Linked DNA regions of Notamacropus eugenii. The protein of the gene in region 1 interacts with the protein of each later gene in a biochemical or structural test. Links are inferred from orthologs where the notes say so. Each region holds a gene or a part of one and is shown in the gene's direction. Other genes may lie near its edges.

Region 1 (8,710 bases):
AAATTTAATAGAAGATGGAAAGCCATCTATATCCCATTAGAGAAACTATGTAGTTTCTATATAATCTTAACCTGTTCCATGATGCCAAGTTACATTTTCTTAATGGCAGTTGATAATTGATAATCAAAAGATAATTTAAAAATGTAATTTGTTGTGGTTGTAACAATGAAGAAGTATTGTATAATCTAAATACATGGGAGATGTGTGTGGGGGGGGAGATTTCCTATCAATTATATGAAAACTTTGCCCTTAGCTTGTAAATACTAAGACAGATCATGCCTGGCATCCAGATGGGTTAAATCACTTACTGTCTAAACATTTTCCATTAGATATCTCCAATATAATTCCTTTTTGGAAAGAAAATGAGCAAGGGGAAAAAATACAATTTGTAACTAATGTACACCTCGGAGAATAGTAAAAATTAAGCCCTAAGAATAAGAAATAGATGATCTCCTAGAGCCATGTGTTCATTGATTCCCACAAGGCCCTCCATTACAGCAATATCTGGTGATTTTTCATCATAAATTTAAGTAGAAAACATTTTCCATTTCTTGTGACTCTTGAAATAGAAGTATACAATAGAAGAAGTAGGGCCTCTGCTGAGGGGGAGCTAAAGCCTAAAGCTCAAATTCTTATTTAATGTTCTGGCATTTGCTGTATTTTTTCCACCTACAAGTTCTTTCTTTAATATAAACTACACATTAAAATGAAAATCTTAAACTAAATGACAGACATGTTCTTGAATTATGTGTTATGTTCTTTCATCTTTTCAGCCTCTAGGGGGAACTGTGTTTTCAGCAATCCTTTCCCCAGGAGGCATTCTGTGAATGAGCAGCAGGCTTCATAAGGATGTTCTTCAGTATTACTTGGAGCTGGTTAAATGAAGGGTGGAGGCCTTCCTTAAGAATTGAAGCTGGCTGCAAGATTTAACAATTACAACTGTGATTCCAATGATGGGTTACTGTAGAGAGAGTAACAATTGGTGGAGACAACCAATCTGTTTCTAATAGCCTTAAAAATGCTATCCTTGATAATCTCTATAGAATACTAGCTCCAAATGTTTTAATTATTACAGGAAGGATGTAGTATTGCCATAGTAGATAGTGTTTTGTTTTCATAGGTCCTTAAACAAATGATAAACAAATACTCTTTAGAAAAGTTGTTACCCTTGTCTTCTGGTTTCGTGATTTAAAATGTTATACACAATTAATTAAATGATTTCTAAATGTTATGACATTACTATTCATTTGTGTCACAAATTAAATATGGAGGCTGCATAAAGTATTCAAATAGTCCCCCCACCCCCAATTAATTTTATTCTGCTTTGGAGCATGTTCTCAACATCTATTCTGTAGTTTCATATGCTTTTCTGACAGGAGAGAAAAAATGTGCTTTCTCCTTTCAATGTTTCAAACAATTTCAGAGAAGCATAATTTTAAAATTGGATCCTTCAGGGATGTAATACTTCTATTTTGTAAATAATATTTGTCATTCATGTAATAAACATAGTACAGCATCCTATCACACCACAATAGCCTACATTTATATGGCTCTTTAACATTTGCAGAGTGATTTCATATAAAATCTTACTTGAGCCTCATAACAACCTTGATAGATAAATGCTATTATTATTCTCATCTTATAGAGGAGGAAACAGATGGAGGGAGGTTAAGCAATTTGCCCAAAGTCACAAGCTAGTAATCATTTGAGGCAGCACTCGAACTCCAAACTCTATCCACTGTGCCATCTAAACATTCTACGTATTATGGTTATTATTGCTTTTTTTAAATAAAGCGGGAAGCACCTCTCCTTGAAAGCATCATTACAAGAGAACTCCACTATATACAAAAGATTGTCTATTCTTTTACATGTTGGAATTTGGTTTACATATTGTAATTTGGCTCATATACCACCTATCAACAAATAATTCTAAATTTTGTCCATGGTCAAATGGTCAGTGTGTGTCCAAGACAGGACTTGAATCCAGATCTTCTCAACTCCAAGGCCTTCCCTAAATCCAGCTAGGTGGTGGTGCCTGTTTAAAACATGCAGGTGTGAGAATACAGACAAGTCACTTAACCACTCAATGTCTGCTGGAAGTAGTCTCCTAATCCAACTCTGTCACTATAAAAGAGAGACATATTATTGATCAGAATAGGTGGAGGGAGTTTCTGCACTCAAAATAGCTCACCGATCAAATCACAGGTTTGGACTAGTAAATAATCAAATAATTCTCAGAATATGAAAATGAATATGGAAATTAGAATTTTCTCATTACACAGAGATTTGGGGCTGTTCCCTGATGTTATATCAGGGGATGGGATTAGATGATTTCTAAGACCCATTCCAAGTTTAAGACATGACTTAATGTGTGTGTGTGTGTGTGTGTGTGTGTGTGCATAATGACAAGTCATATTTATACACTGATACTTATGTAAACTTCTTACTGGTTTTCAAACAGTAATTTGATATGAAGTAAATAATTCAACAACACTAAAATGTACATACTTTACCACTGATATTTATAATTAGTCCTTTACCTGATTTTATGCCAATTTCCGTTTGTCTAATACTGTTGATAAATCCCAATTTCTCTTCAACATTTTCTGAGGGATGTTTTGAAAAGGAGGAAATTGAATAATATAAACTACTCGTTTAATTATTTAGTTTATTGAAGTACAGTATGCAAAATTTCTCCTTAATTTCTTTTATCTTTTAGATTCCTTTAAAAGTTTACAGATGGGTTATACACTCAAAATGAGGCATTCCCATTCAAAACCTCCAAACTGAAAGCTCTGGTATTAAGCTGAACTTAAATGCACTGCCCTGACAATGACCTCCAGGCTAAGTTGAGAAGACCATCTATCTGTAAAGTGAGAGGCAATTCACTCATGCCATTTAAACCCTGGGCCTCTCTCTTTAAGACTTAAACAACAAACTGGAGAATTACTTTGCCTTTGACTGTGCTCATCCTAGGAAGCCATAATATGAAGAATAGGATATTTCATATTCTTTAGGATCTTCAGCTTAAAATGAGAAATTCATTCAGTCTGGAACTTAGTTGTTGATTTCCTTCAAAAACCCTATGTCTAAAATTGTCTAATAAAGTGCATTTGCAATTATTCGGTTGTGGATCTTGTCCTGGTCCTTTGCTTGGGATAAGGGGCATAAAGAGGAGGAGTGTTCATTCCGTTGTATAGTGAACTCCCATTACAGAAACTCTTTCTACCTTTACTAATTGACACCTCTACAATCAGATTCTGATTCTGGGGTTCAAAGCTATACATTGATTTACTGGGCTACAAAGAGTCAGGGGCAAGGCTTAAACCCATATGTTCTAGACTTTAGAGCCAGCTCTTCAGTCACTATTCCAGGCAGCCTCTCTTGCTATTAAATATTAGGTGAAATTAAAATATTTTAGAGTGACTTTTAAGTAGTTTTAAATTTTAACATACTTTATTTTCCACTAATTACATGTTAAAATAACTTTTTGACATTGATTTTTAAAAAAAAAAGTTTTGAGTTTCTAATTTTATCCTTCCCTTCCTTCCCTGAAGTAGTTTTTTTTAAATAAGAGATTTCAAAGGAGTAGGAGACAGTTTATTACTTAAAGTTAGATTCTGAGATTAGATTGCAATTAACTTCAGTTAAGCATACTTTCTATTCTTTCAATTAGCATAACGAAGAGTTGTATTAATTAGTTCAGCCAGAGGAAAACAAAGTTATCAGGAAGCACTTAATTATAAATACAAATAGAAACAAGAATTCTAGTCTGGGAGACAAAAATGCAGAGCCTGGAGCAGTGGTGCAAAGGTTACCAGCCATATTAATTTTTCTGCCGAAAGAGGGCGTTTTCCTGGGATTAATAGGGGGAAAGCTTTAAGTTTCTTTAAAGTTAAGTGAAAGTATTCAAACGAAATTCTGATGGTTAGTATTTTTCTAATTTGTGGAATTAAATTTTTTTAATCTCGTAGAGGTAGTGAAGTACGTGACCCAAACAAATAATGTTTTACGTGTACATATACCAAGGATAAGAATGCTGAATTCTATTTGAATACGCATGGAAAGCATGGATTTCCTGACTTGATAGTCAGGCCACTGCCTTGTATGAAATCCTTTCCATTCCTGCCTTTTGACTTGCAAGAGATCAGGACTTCGGACCTGTTATCTTTCTTTCTTCAGAGCTGCATCCTCTTTTGCAAAGGTGGGGGAATGAAAGATCCCCTTTATGTGCCCATAAAGTCCTGCGGACGTTTTTTGGGCGGTTTGCAAACATTTGCCATATTCCAACTGCCTATGGAGAAGCGGAATCACGGGCTGGAAGTCACCCTCTGCAAGCAAAAAGTTTCGCTTCCCCTCCCCCCCACCCCACGCGCTCTTCTTTGGGAAAGCGCTCCTTGGTTTCACTTGGTCTTCACTCCTGGGAAGAATATATGCAAAGAGAAGCGCCCGCGCACTCCGGAACCAGAGGAAAGGCAGAATCTGCATAGGTGGAAAAAACGGGTAAGTGGGGAAAAGGCTTAAGGCAGTTTCTGCCGGGAGAGCATAGGATGCGGGCCGACCTCCAGAAATTGGGCTTGGCTAGCTTGTGTCCCAGGTATGTAGAGGACGCCGGGATACTGGATTCGCCTAGGTCACTTAAGAGCTGTGAAAGCAAACTTTTTTCTTTGGGCTCCCCAACTCAAATGCCAAAGACCTCTCAGCCTCAATAGAGCTCTGGATAGTAGAGACAGATAGACAGTGGGCGACATAACTCCTCCTCCGGACTTAGGGACCCCCTCCTCCCCCTTCAGTTGCATTGCCTGAAAGAGAGGGAAGGAGAGAGGGGAAAGAGGAGAACGCGCGCGCTCTAACGGGGAGACCCCCGAAGTTTCCTTGCCAGTAAAAGTCAGACGAGATCTTGATTAGTTGTTACTTTTGCTTGGCGCTTGTGTATTTATTTGCAAATTAATTGTATAAGGATCTTTAGTCAGTAGCTTTTGAGCTGAAGCGGTGGCGCCTGAATTGAGCTGCTGTGTTTTGGAGCGAGTTGGAGAACAGAAAAGGCGCGTGTGCACTGTGGATATGAACTGAGGGGAGATGAGTGTGTTACGTGTGCTGCAACTTTAAGAAAAAGGTCGGGGTGGTGGGTGGATTGAGGTTGGGAAGGAGGGAGGGAAGGGGTGTGGGGAGGAGTCCTGATGTAAGAATGCTAATGAGAGGCTCCCCTCCAACCCCCCGTCAACCCCCCACCCTACCCGCTCGAAATACAAACCCGTTCTCGCAGCTCCATGTGTGGTAACAGGCTCGTCCGCTACCACACTATTTAAACAGAGGATATGTATCAAGGAGCAAGGGAGAATCAATGAGATCAAACGGGAGGCAGATGCTCCGTCAATTACAATCACTTGGACAAGTTTAATTTTTTTTTTTTTTTGCAAGCCATTCTTTCAAAATCAATCTCAACAACGTCCAAAAAAAAGAAGTCACCTCTAGGCAAAATAGTATATAGGAGGAAAGAGAAATATCTATATAACATACTATAGGGTCATAGGTGTAAACTTAAAAAAAACTGGTAACATTTTAGAGAAGGGCCCTTTTTCCCGTCACTTGACGGTAGAAGGGGAATTCTGTTTTCTTAGGGCACCCAAGGGGGCGCAGGGACTAAGGAGGTAGAGGAAAGGGAGGGGGAGAAGGAGGAAGGTGGTGGGAAGAAGACGGGCTAAGGTGAGTGACAGAGATTGCTCTTCAGCGCAATGCCATCCTTTTTGTTACTCAGTTTCTCTTCTTGCGCTGTGCTAAGCTGGGCGCTCCTGGCAAGCGGCGGCAGCAGCAGCGGAAACCGAGGCGGCGGGCTCCCTGTGGTGGAAGAGACGCAGAAGATCGAGGTTCTGGTGCTTCTACCCAAGGACAACGCTTACATGTTCTCCTTGGCCAGGGTCAAGCCGGCCATCGAGTACGCGCTGCGTAGCGTGGAGGAAAATGGGACTAGGAGACAGCTGCTTCCACAGGGCTACAGCTTCCAGGTGGACTATCAGGATTCGCACTGCGGCAACCAGGCACTCTTCAGTTTAGTTGATCGAGTGGCAGTGGCCCGGGGGTCTAAACCGGACTTGATCCTGGGCCCGGTCTGCGAATATGCTGCAGCACCTGTGGCCCGGCTGGCGTCGCACTGGGACCTGCCCATGCTGTCTGCCGGAGCTCTCGCGGCTGGCTTCAAGCACAAGGAGAGCGAGTTCTCGCACCTTACCCGTGTGGCACCCGCCTACGCCAAGATGGGAGAGATGATGCTCGCCTTGTTCCGGCATCAGCAGTGGAGCCGAGCTGCCCTGATCTACAGTGATGACAAGCTGGAGCGGAACTGTTACTTCACCCTGGAGGGGGTCCATGAGGTCTTCCAGGAGGAGGGTTTGCACACATCCGCCTACAGCTTCGACGAGACCAAAACCCTAGACGCTGAAGAAATCGTGCGCTACATCCAGGCCAGCGAGAGGGGTGAGCTAGAGGAACGTCCCCATCTAGTGTACCTTTTAGCCCTCTCCCATCCCGCATCCCAACCCTCTCTATTCTACTCCTTGAACATTGTAAGGGCACCCCAACTTTTCCCCACTTTCCCTGGCGCTGGGAATGCGGAAAGGGGTGAAAGGGATGGAGATATGCAAAATGTAACTGCAGAAGTCTAATCATTCTAGCTTTGGGATGAGCTTTTTCCACTGGCCCATGTATAAGCCCTCTCCACCTCCTTGGTAGAGGACGAGGAAATGTGTAAGGGCATAGAGGGGTGTAGGTGGGGAGATAGGAAGGAAATCTATTCTCTTTCCTTCCCTAGGTCTGGGGAGGGGAGGGGAGAAGCGCAAAGACCGGAGGGTTTTCCTGTCCTGAGGACTTATCTTGGCTTTCCCTTTCCCTTCCTCTCCCTTAAAGTTTGTGCAGTGTTGGTTAGCTTTCCTAATGCCCCGTTTTAAGTGCTTACCCCCTTCCTCCCCCCTAGTATGCTTGTCAAGTTGTCCCATTTCCCTTCTTCCAGCTACTATTCTATTTCCTTTAAAAAGCTCGATTGTATTGATTTTTCCTCATCCATCTCCTGGGTCTTCCTCCCTTCGCCCACTCCACCCTTCTTAACAAATACGTTTCCTGGGTTTCCACTCAAAATGCGTCGTTGCGTCCTGGCAACAATCAACATCCCCTTTAGATTCCTGAGTGTTTCCATCCCCGAAGATTCCAAATAGGGGCATCTTCAGGTCCCATACTTGCTGGAGAATCACTCGGAGGTACACATGGTTCCGACTGTAATAATAATTTGCTTCTTAATAAACAAATGCCGAAATTGGCAAGAGGTGAGAAATGAGTTACGTGAGTTGGTAGGTGCGAGGGAGAAAAGAAGGGGTTTCAACTTCTTGACCACGAATTTCAGGGGAGAAAGTGAGATTTCCCGGAGAAATCAGGCAGGGTGCCTAACCATATCCGGATAAGGGCACAATGCGCCAAGGGGATGTCGTCAGCTAATTCTAGAACACAGAGCCACCTCTCCGCCTTCCCCTTATGCCATTGCGCCTGGAATGTAGGTGGTGAAATCTTGGCACTCTCAGCCCTGGGAACGAGACACGTGAGACTCGGGCCCTCTAAAGGTGCGTAAGCTGGCAAATACATTTACCGCGGGTGTGGTTCCGCACACCTGAGCGCTTGGCTTGCGGAGCTTGGACTGAGAAGCACGGGCGCGTGGCCTGGAGCAGTTTCTGGCCCAGCCTCCGCACTTTGTCACCAGAATCCCGAACAGGTGGGAGGACTGCAAGAGGCAGAGGTGGCAGTGTGAGCCGTGCAGTTGATAGCTTAATATAGGGCGCTGGGCAGGTGGACCTCGTAGTCTAGATGGAAGAAGGGGAGGTTCTGGAATGCGAAATACGTGGCCCGAATCAAGCTTTTTCCATGTACATCTGCCCAGGGCCTGCCTAGGTAGGTACATGGGGCTAAATGAACGCTTAAGCCTTTAAGGTATACCATTGAAATACAGACATGTATATGTACAATACATACATATATTTACATATCACATACACACACACACCACCATGGATGGCGCCCAGCCCATTTAGCCAGGACCTTGAGCCGGCCCTCTCTCGGTCTGCACAAACCTCAGGCTATCCAGATTCGTCGGCATTTTTCTTGCCCTGTGGTGTATGGAAGAGGCATTCTGATCGAACTGCTTGCCACACATTTCCTACCGACCACACCCAGGACGTGAAAATAAACCCCTCCCCCTTTCTTCCCCACCCGGACCTGGCAGATCTCTCCCAAAGAGACTTGTAGCCCCGACGTCAGGACGGGCAGTAGAAGGCTGCGGGAATAAATATGAAACCAACAGGCGGAGAGGTCTCTGAGCATCAGCCCCCGCCGCCTGACTCCTGTGAGCGGCGCCAAGCTGAACACCAGAGAGGGCAGGGAAGGGACAGATGCGTGCGTCTGACTGTCTGCGTGGATGGCAGTAGCTGGCAATACTGACTCCCTCTGGGCTGCTGCCCAAGTTTACCTCAGATTCTCGAAATAGGCATGATTTTTGCCATGTAAAGGTGGGCTTTGGATGCCCCAGCAGGGCCTTTTGGGGAGTAGGGGTGGGAATCTCTATGGAACATTTTCAATCCCATGTGAGTAGTATACTTCCACTTTTAAATTCACATGGGAGGGGCTATCTTGTCACCTCTCTCTCCCTTCTCTTTAGGCTCTCTGCTCTGAC
Region 2 (7,184 bases), on another chromosome or scaffold:
TGGACTTTTCTCAGTTGATTTCCATATGTGTGTGATATCGATGACATTTACTATGATAACAGTTGCTCCTAAGGAGGAGCTAAGAGCAACTCCAAAGAAGGCAAGAAAGCACTGAATCAGTAAGATCTGCCCTCCAACTCATCTCTGCAGCAAATGACCTCCTTTGTTCCAGGGCATAAAAATACGGCTAATATTTTTCTATTCAGATGCCAGAAGGGAAAGAAAAGGCTGATGTCCAAACCTTTTTGCAATCTCTCCCTCTCCTTCTTACAACATGGCTTCTTGAAAATCTCATTGGTCATTAATATACCATACAACGTTGAGAAAAGGCGAGGAAAGGAATGGAAAGTCAAGTCACACAATTCTCCTGGTTGGAAGCCCCAGAAGAAAAATTGATGGGTAGGGGGAGGAGGTTAAAGCTAATGGGAAAATGAAATTCTAAATCCTTCATTCTGAACTTAGAGTCAAGAAGGAAGACAGGCCAGAATCTAGCATTTATCATATACCTCCTAAGAGCCAGACACTGTGCTAAGTAATTTGCAAATATTTCATTTGATCCTCACAATAACTCTAGGAGGTAAATGCTATCATTATACAATTAAGGCAGTCAAAGTTTAAGTGAGGTCACCCAGCACTGACTGCCAAATATTATTGTGAGGATCAAATGTGATAAAATATATAAAGGACTATGTAAGTTGTAAGCACAATTAAATAAATGGTAGTTATTTTGGGGAGAGATATAGCAAATGTGCAAATAACTATGGTGAATGGGAGAATTTGGTAAGTCCTTAAGAGGCACAAAGTACTTGGAGAGATCCAAGTATCTTTATGGCTTGAGTTTGGGGAAAGAAGGAAGGGTTCAGGGAGGGGATGGTGTTTGAAGTTCTTCTGGAAGGATGAGTAGGACTGAGATGAAGTGGGCATCTTCCAGACACAGCCAGGAAAAGGAGTAACCACAGAGGTGTGTTTGAGACATAGGAAGCCCAGTGAGCCCAGTGTAACTGGAGTGTGTGGAGAGGGGATTGTATATGGATCTTGATTATCTGTGATTTCCCTGCCTCTTCTGCTAATAAACAGTTGACAGGTGGGCTTTAAATCAATATTCATGGTAACGATGCAAGACAAGCTATTTGTTTCCCCATCTGAAAAATTTTGGAATTAGATGAGATAATACCTAAGGTCTATTCCAGATCTTAATCCAAAAATCCCATCAAGTTTTATTGTCTTTCCATATACTAGCTCTCAGAGAGGAAAGAAGTCTTCAGGAAAAAGAAAATAGATTCTGAATAATCTGGAACCTTGGACAGTGACTTCTGCTTTTACCCCAAGATGCCTGCAAAAGCAGCTGGAGAGGGGGAGGGGTCAGGGAAGGGAGGGTGGAAAGAAGAGACTGCCCTATGTCATTTCTGGTATGCCATTTGCCAAGATAACACCCACATCAGAGGGCTGTCTCAGAAGGGCAAGGACAGGGCAGGCTGACATGCTTAGAAAGAATTACTTCTCGGAAACACAGCTTCTTGTCAAACTAGCCTTACTAAAAATAACCTGACATGCACTTATGACTTGAATCATGCAGCATCATTAGGAGAATGTTGTCTTTGGCCTACCAAATTCCAACTGAAAATGGCTCAATATTGTATTCTTCATCAATGGGGATCTAGGTGGATTGAGTGTTGGACTTGGAGTCAGGAAGACCTGAATTCAAGTGGGTCACTGGGCAAGTCACTTCACTTTCTCTGTTTCAGATACATCGTCTATAAAATGGGAATAATAATAGCACATACTTCTCAGGTTTTTGTGTGGATCAAATTAAATAACATGTAGAACACTTTGCAAACCTTAAAGCATCACACAAATGCCAGTTATCTTCCTCCTCTTCATCATCATCTTCCAAAGCCCTGAAACCCACTGGTCAAGTAATTTTACTGAGGATTATAGCAATGCAATTCAATCTTTATTAGAAAAATATTAGATTTCATGAAGAAAATTGGGATATTTAGCCTGGATGAGGGAATAAAACTCAGGAAGACATGACAATTATCTTCTGGCATTTGAGGGATTAGTCTTGCTCCCAAGAGCAGAACCAGGAAATATGGCTGAAAGCTGAAGTGAGGCAACTTTAGGTTTGATGCCAGGAAAAACTTCATGACAATTAGAGTTGTTTGAAAATGGAATGAACGGCTTCAAGTCTTCAACTGGAATCTAGAGGATGGCTTTGCAGAGATCATGCAAGTGAAGGTTTCTTTTATTCAGATATGAGTGAGATTAGCTGGCCTCTAAAATCCTTTGTAAATGTCAGATTTTGTGACTCCACAATACAAACAAGCTCACAATACCTAACTGACCTGGTCATGGTGTTCCATGAGAAGCAGGGATGGAACAGGATCAGTTCTTCATTTTATAAACAAATTAGCACCATGGAGAATTTCTCCAAATCTAACCAAAAACTAGGATTAAGTACAAGGTCTATCAGTTAACATGTTTTTAGACCATCCATGAAGCATATAACAATGTGCTAGGTGTGTTTGTACATGTGTGTTTGTCCTTTGTTGTCAAAGAAGACCATGCCATCAGAGAAATAATGACATGACTTGCACTTCACTTTGTCTTTTTTCTTTTTTGAGAGAGGGAGGGCTGTGCAGGTCACCAGCCTCACTTTTCCTCCAGAGCCACCTGAATCAGGATGACTGGAGATGACCCAGGAGGAGAAAATTGGGGTTAAGTGATTTGCCCAAGGTCACACAGTGAGTGTCAAGTGTCTGAGGTGAGATTTGAACTCAAGTCTTTCTGACTCCTGCACTGGTGCTCTATCCACTGCACCACTTAGCTGCCCCTAGGATGAATGAGTACATAACGACTACACAAAACCTCCCCTCAGGAGGTTTACAGTCTAATAGAAGAAGGTAGGAAAGACCCCACAAAGGTAGGCAGCCATTGCAAGAGTGACAGAAGGACTGATGATGGCTAATTTTAGACCATGGCTCATATCAGTCAAGGAAAGCTTCCTGAAAGGAGGGGCACTGTGTGGGTTAGACTAGATGGTCTCTGATGTCTCTTCCAACTCTGAGATTCTGTGATTTGGGCTGCTGGGTAAAAGGTTCTGGATTCTCAAATCTCAATCAAGTGTCCTAAACACATTTCTTGTAAGTTATCCCTCCCAATTAGTATTCTTCCTTAAATACACTTGCTTTGCTCACTGTAGGTAATTAATAAGTGACTACTGAATTAAAGATGTATCATGGTACGGTGGACTTGGAGTCAGAAACACCTGGGTTCAGATCCTACTTCAGACACTTACTAGCTGTGTGACCCTGAGCAAGTCACTTCACCTGTCTGCCTCAGTTTTCTAATCTATAAAATGAACATAGTGGACTCACTAACTTTTAATGCTTTTTTCCACTCTAAATCTATAAGCCTAGGAAGTGCTAATGTCTAGTACAGTGCTAAACAGTTTGTAAAAATTTCATATTGATTGAACCTTGTTAGTTTTTGACTGAGAAATGGGGGTCCAAATGTCTGTCACTTGCCTGCACCAACTGATGTGAGGTAGAGAAAGATCTAGGAGACTAGTATGTGCCACAAAGGGCTCTCCACATTGGCCCACCCCATTGACTTTTTTTTTTTTTTCTGGCAAGGCTAGAACTCAATACAAGTTTCAGACTTTTGATTTAATAGCTTCTAGGATACCACATGGCAATGGAATGATGATGGTGGCTTTTTCTAGGTTCATAATCATTTCTATCAACACCTTACAAGAGGGAAAAGTGATGGAAGAGTAAGGGTATGTATTGTGGGTGGTGAGTGGGGGATATTGACTTCAGGAAAATATTCTCTGGTGTTGATATGTGGGAGCAGAATGATTAGGATGTTTCTCCCATGGGGTGTTTCTCACATTCTATCCTTGGTGCTGACTTCACAGTCTTTATGAGAAAAAACAACAACTCACCTCTGCTCTACCCAGCTGCTTGGAACCATAGCCACAGTTGGGAACTCACATGCAGGAGAAAGAATCTGAATTAAGTAAGAAAGAGTATAAAATTGTCCCAAGCATCCAGGCTTGTCTGTGTCAGCTTGAACTCTTTCTCTAGGTTGAAAGTTGCCTGTAATTTCCTTCTTTCTTGTCCTTATTTGGACCTCCCTAGCATTCATGTAACAAGCTTGGGGAGAGATGGGTACTGGCCAGCCATCCTGTTTCCCTAAATTGTTTCCACGGCAAGGAAGCAAAGAATCCTGAGGCATCTTTGTGAGATAATCAAGGATTTTTTTGGTTCCTCTCACACCTTTAAAGTGTGAAACCTCTTGAGCCAAATCAACAAGAATGTGACTCTTGCAGCCTAGGGTTCCTGAGGCTGTGACAACCGTTGAAGTGCAGAAGCCACCTCTACAATGAGGTTGTGACAGTCTGCACTGGACTGATAACTTTAAAAGGACATCTTCTGTTGGCTCACTCCAGTCCTTTATCACTGCAAGTGACAGAATGGGGAGGGGTACATCCCTTGGGCGGTCTCAGGGTGCTGGAGGGGGATATAAAAAGACAAAGAGGCAGACTGGGAGGCATAAGACAACAGGGTCAGAAGACCAAGAGCGAAGAGGAGACAGAAGAGACAGCAAGCATTTGACTGACTGATATTGACGACCAATCACAGCATGGGCTCCTTCACTACCATCTCCATCAGCATTCTCCTCCTTTTGACCCTGCAGCTTCAAGGTCGAACCAAAGCCAGTCCTGTGTCCAATAATGACCTGGTGGATTTCAAGGTAGGACCAGAGAGAGACTTGTCAGGGACAATAGAAACCAGGGGTGGTATTTTGGTACGGTTTTGATTTTTTGGTCACTACTCCCCAATGTAATGAACTCATAAACTCCTCTCTTTGTTCCCTTTTTGATTTTTTAGAATTTGTTGGACCGCCTGGAGGACAAGATACCTTTAGAAGATGAGGTCATGGCCTCACAAGGACTTAATGAGCAGAATGAGGAGGCTGGGGAAGCACTTAGCTCCCTCTCTTCCTGGAGTGGGGAAGTCAGCCCAGCCCAGCGGGAGGGAAACTTCAACCGGGGCACTTGGGAGCAATCTGAGAGATCTGCCCTCCTGAAGAATAAGCTTCGGGCACTCTTGACTTCCCCTCGTAGTCTGAGGAGGTCCTCCAGCTGCTTTGGGGGCAGGATTGATAGAATAGGAGCCCAAAGTGGACTTGGCTGCAACAGTTTTAGGGTAAGGAGATCTGGAAATGGGTTAGGGAGAAAAGAGACATATGCTATGCTAAAATTCAAGCAGAGGTAGAGGGGTTCACTACCAAGTGAAATCCTCAGCAGGTGCAGGGACTAGATACATATCTCCCTTTGAAATATATCATTCTTGCCTTTGGGACTATCTGTAACTACAAAACTGTAACAGTAATGCTTGATTCTCCAAGGGGGTATCACCAGATGTATTAGAGAATTAAAACTTCCATAGGACCAGATTGTTTTATAATGTGAGGGGCTTTCATTTATTTTCCTTTCTAGAGTTATAAAATTAAAGGGTCAAATAGAATGAGTTGGTGGTGGTGGTGGTCCTTCATTTTTGAAGAGGGTCAATGACATTATGATGTAAATGAAGCAAATAATAAGGTAAAATAGTGGATGATGGTTGACCTCTTGACTTGCTTGTGAAGTGGATTTAAGTGAGGCAGAGTTGCACAAAGTCATCAGCTTCACTCTTTTCCAGAGTCACCAAAGTCTAGAATAAAATAGAATACATAAGGATTTCTTTAATTACCCTTTATGGTCTGAACTGTCTGCTAGTTCTGGAAGCCCAGAGGATCCACTTTAATATGCTAAGGAAGAGTGGTTTAAGAGATCAAGGATAAAGGGTGTTTTTTGTCCATTTTATACCTGCTATCCATTCCAATCTCATGTTACCTTCTCTAGGTCATCTAGCTGGGATATTGCTAACCAAATATGTTTGTCTTCTCTTTGTAGTTCTGAAGATAATGTACAAAGAGGAAAACACGTGCTGGACCCTGTCAGATCAAATCCTTTGGGACTTTGGCTCTATTTTGTCCATTTGTTATTAGCAAACTGGGCTTTGTGCTCCTGGTTCAAGCTACAGCTTTCTTTTGCTGTTTCACAAATGTAATTTTGAATGTAGACAAAATGGTGTGATGGTGTGATGGCGTTATGGCGGTTTTTGTCCATTCATTAGATCTGAGTTTAAATTCTAAGCAGTTCAAGAATGAATAAACTTCAGCACCATGGACAGAAACAGCCGCGGGCTGGTGTGATTCTTTGTTTCCTACAGGGAAACAGTGGGGGAATTCAGGTCTATTCCGACTATTATACTGCCTGCAAAATTTTCTTTCTTTCTTTCTTTTTTTTAAAAATCACTTAGCCAGAGAGTCACCTCTCATCATATCTGCGGAGGCAAAGAAAAGCCATAATGGCTATTTATTTAGACCGATTCGAGTGAAGTTTTCTCGAGGCTAATGTAGTTCATATCTAACATTGTATGGTTTTTTCTTTTCCCATGCAATTCCTCATCATTTTTTGACATACAAGTTTTGGGGCACATGTTTCTAATGAGGCAATTCTGAGAGCTGACTGCTGGGGTTGGTCTGGTTTGGCACTATTTTTGGTTACTAGATAGAACTAGAATTGAAGGAAGAATAGAAGAATAAAAACATTTACTAAGTGTAAATGAGGTTTTAAAAAGGCTTACTAACCTCCTGGATTTTAACATCTAAACTTTAAAATATAATCACCATTCCATCTTCATGAGAGAGCTAGAGGCCTGAATTATTAGGCTCTAACAAGTGTCCTTGTAAAATAGCAGGCATTTCTCAGGCAGCAGACATTGGCTGGAGACATGGGTTAACAGCCTTGTTCTCAGTAAGTACGGAAATTTGGAGAAAAAAAAGGATAAGGAAATGCAGTAGCCATTAGTCTCCGTGTTGGATGGAAGACAAAGACGGGACAGGGGATGTGAGCTATCCTATCCACTTCATCACGAACAGCAGGTTGAACATGATGAGCACTTATGACTGAGAGCCAAAAACAGGGGCTCTTGTCAGGAGCATGGCCCTTTCAAACTCATTATTGAATAGAACACTAACTAGAATTATCTAGAAGCTTACCACTTCCCAGCGATAATGCTACCCAACTGAGAAAAGAACCACATCACTTTGGCAAAAAGTAGAAAAAGATC

Evidence for each region. The genes of interacting proteins can lie anywhere in the genome.
Region 2: the proteins of NPR3 (region 1) and NPPA form a complex in vitro, tested with the Homo sapiens proteins (4 studies listed by BioGRID, with this or other methods). The link is inferred for Notamacropus eugenii from reciprocal best matches to the Homo sapiens genes NPR3 and NPPA.

The regions. Positions count from the first base shown.
Region 1 is NC_092875.1:427,905,369-427,914,078, forward strand, and holds the start of NPR3 (atrial natriuretic peptide receptor 3), read left to right. Parts: upstream 1-5,262; 5' UTR 5,263-5,735; coding exon 5,736-6,474; intron 6,475-7,226; exon of another isoform or gene 7,227-7,297; coding exon of another isoform or gene 7,298-7,316; intron 7,317-7,395; exon of another isoform or gene 7,396-7,471; coding exon of another isoform or gene 7,472-7,607; intron 7,608-7,660; exon of another isoform or gene 7,661-7,871; coding exon of another isoform or gene 7,872-7,932; intron 7,933-8,710. UniProt on the Homo sapiens protein: Receptor for the natriuretic peptide hormones, binding with similar affinities atrial natriuretic peptide NPPA/ANP, brain natriuretic peptide NPPB/BNP, and C-type natriuretic peptide NPPC/CNP.
Region 2 is NC_092876.1:51,274,777-51,281,960, reverse strand, and holds NPPA (natriuretic peptides A), read left to right. Parts: upstream 1-4,550; 5' UTR 4,551-4,647; coding exon 4,648-4,758; intron 4,759-4,895; coding exon 4,896-5,213; intron 5,214-5,431; exon of another isoform or gene 5,432-5,660; coding exon of another isoform or gene 5,661-5,720; intron 5,721-5,962; coding exon 5,963-5,968; 3' UTR 5,969-6,245; downstream 6,246-7,184.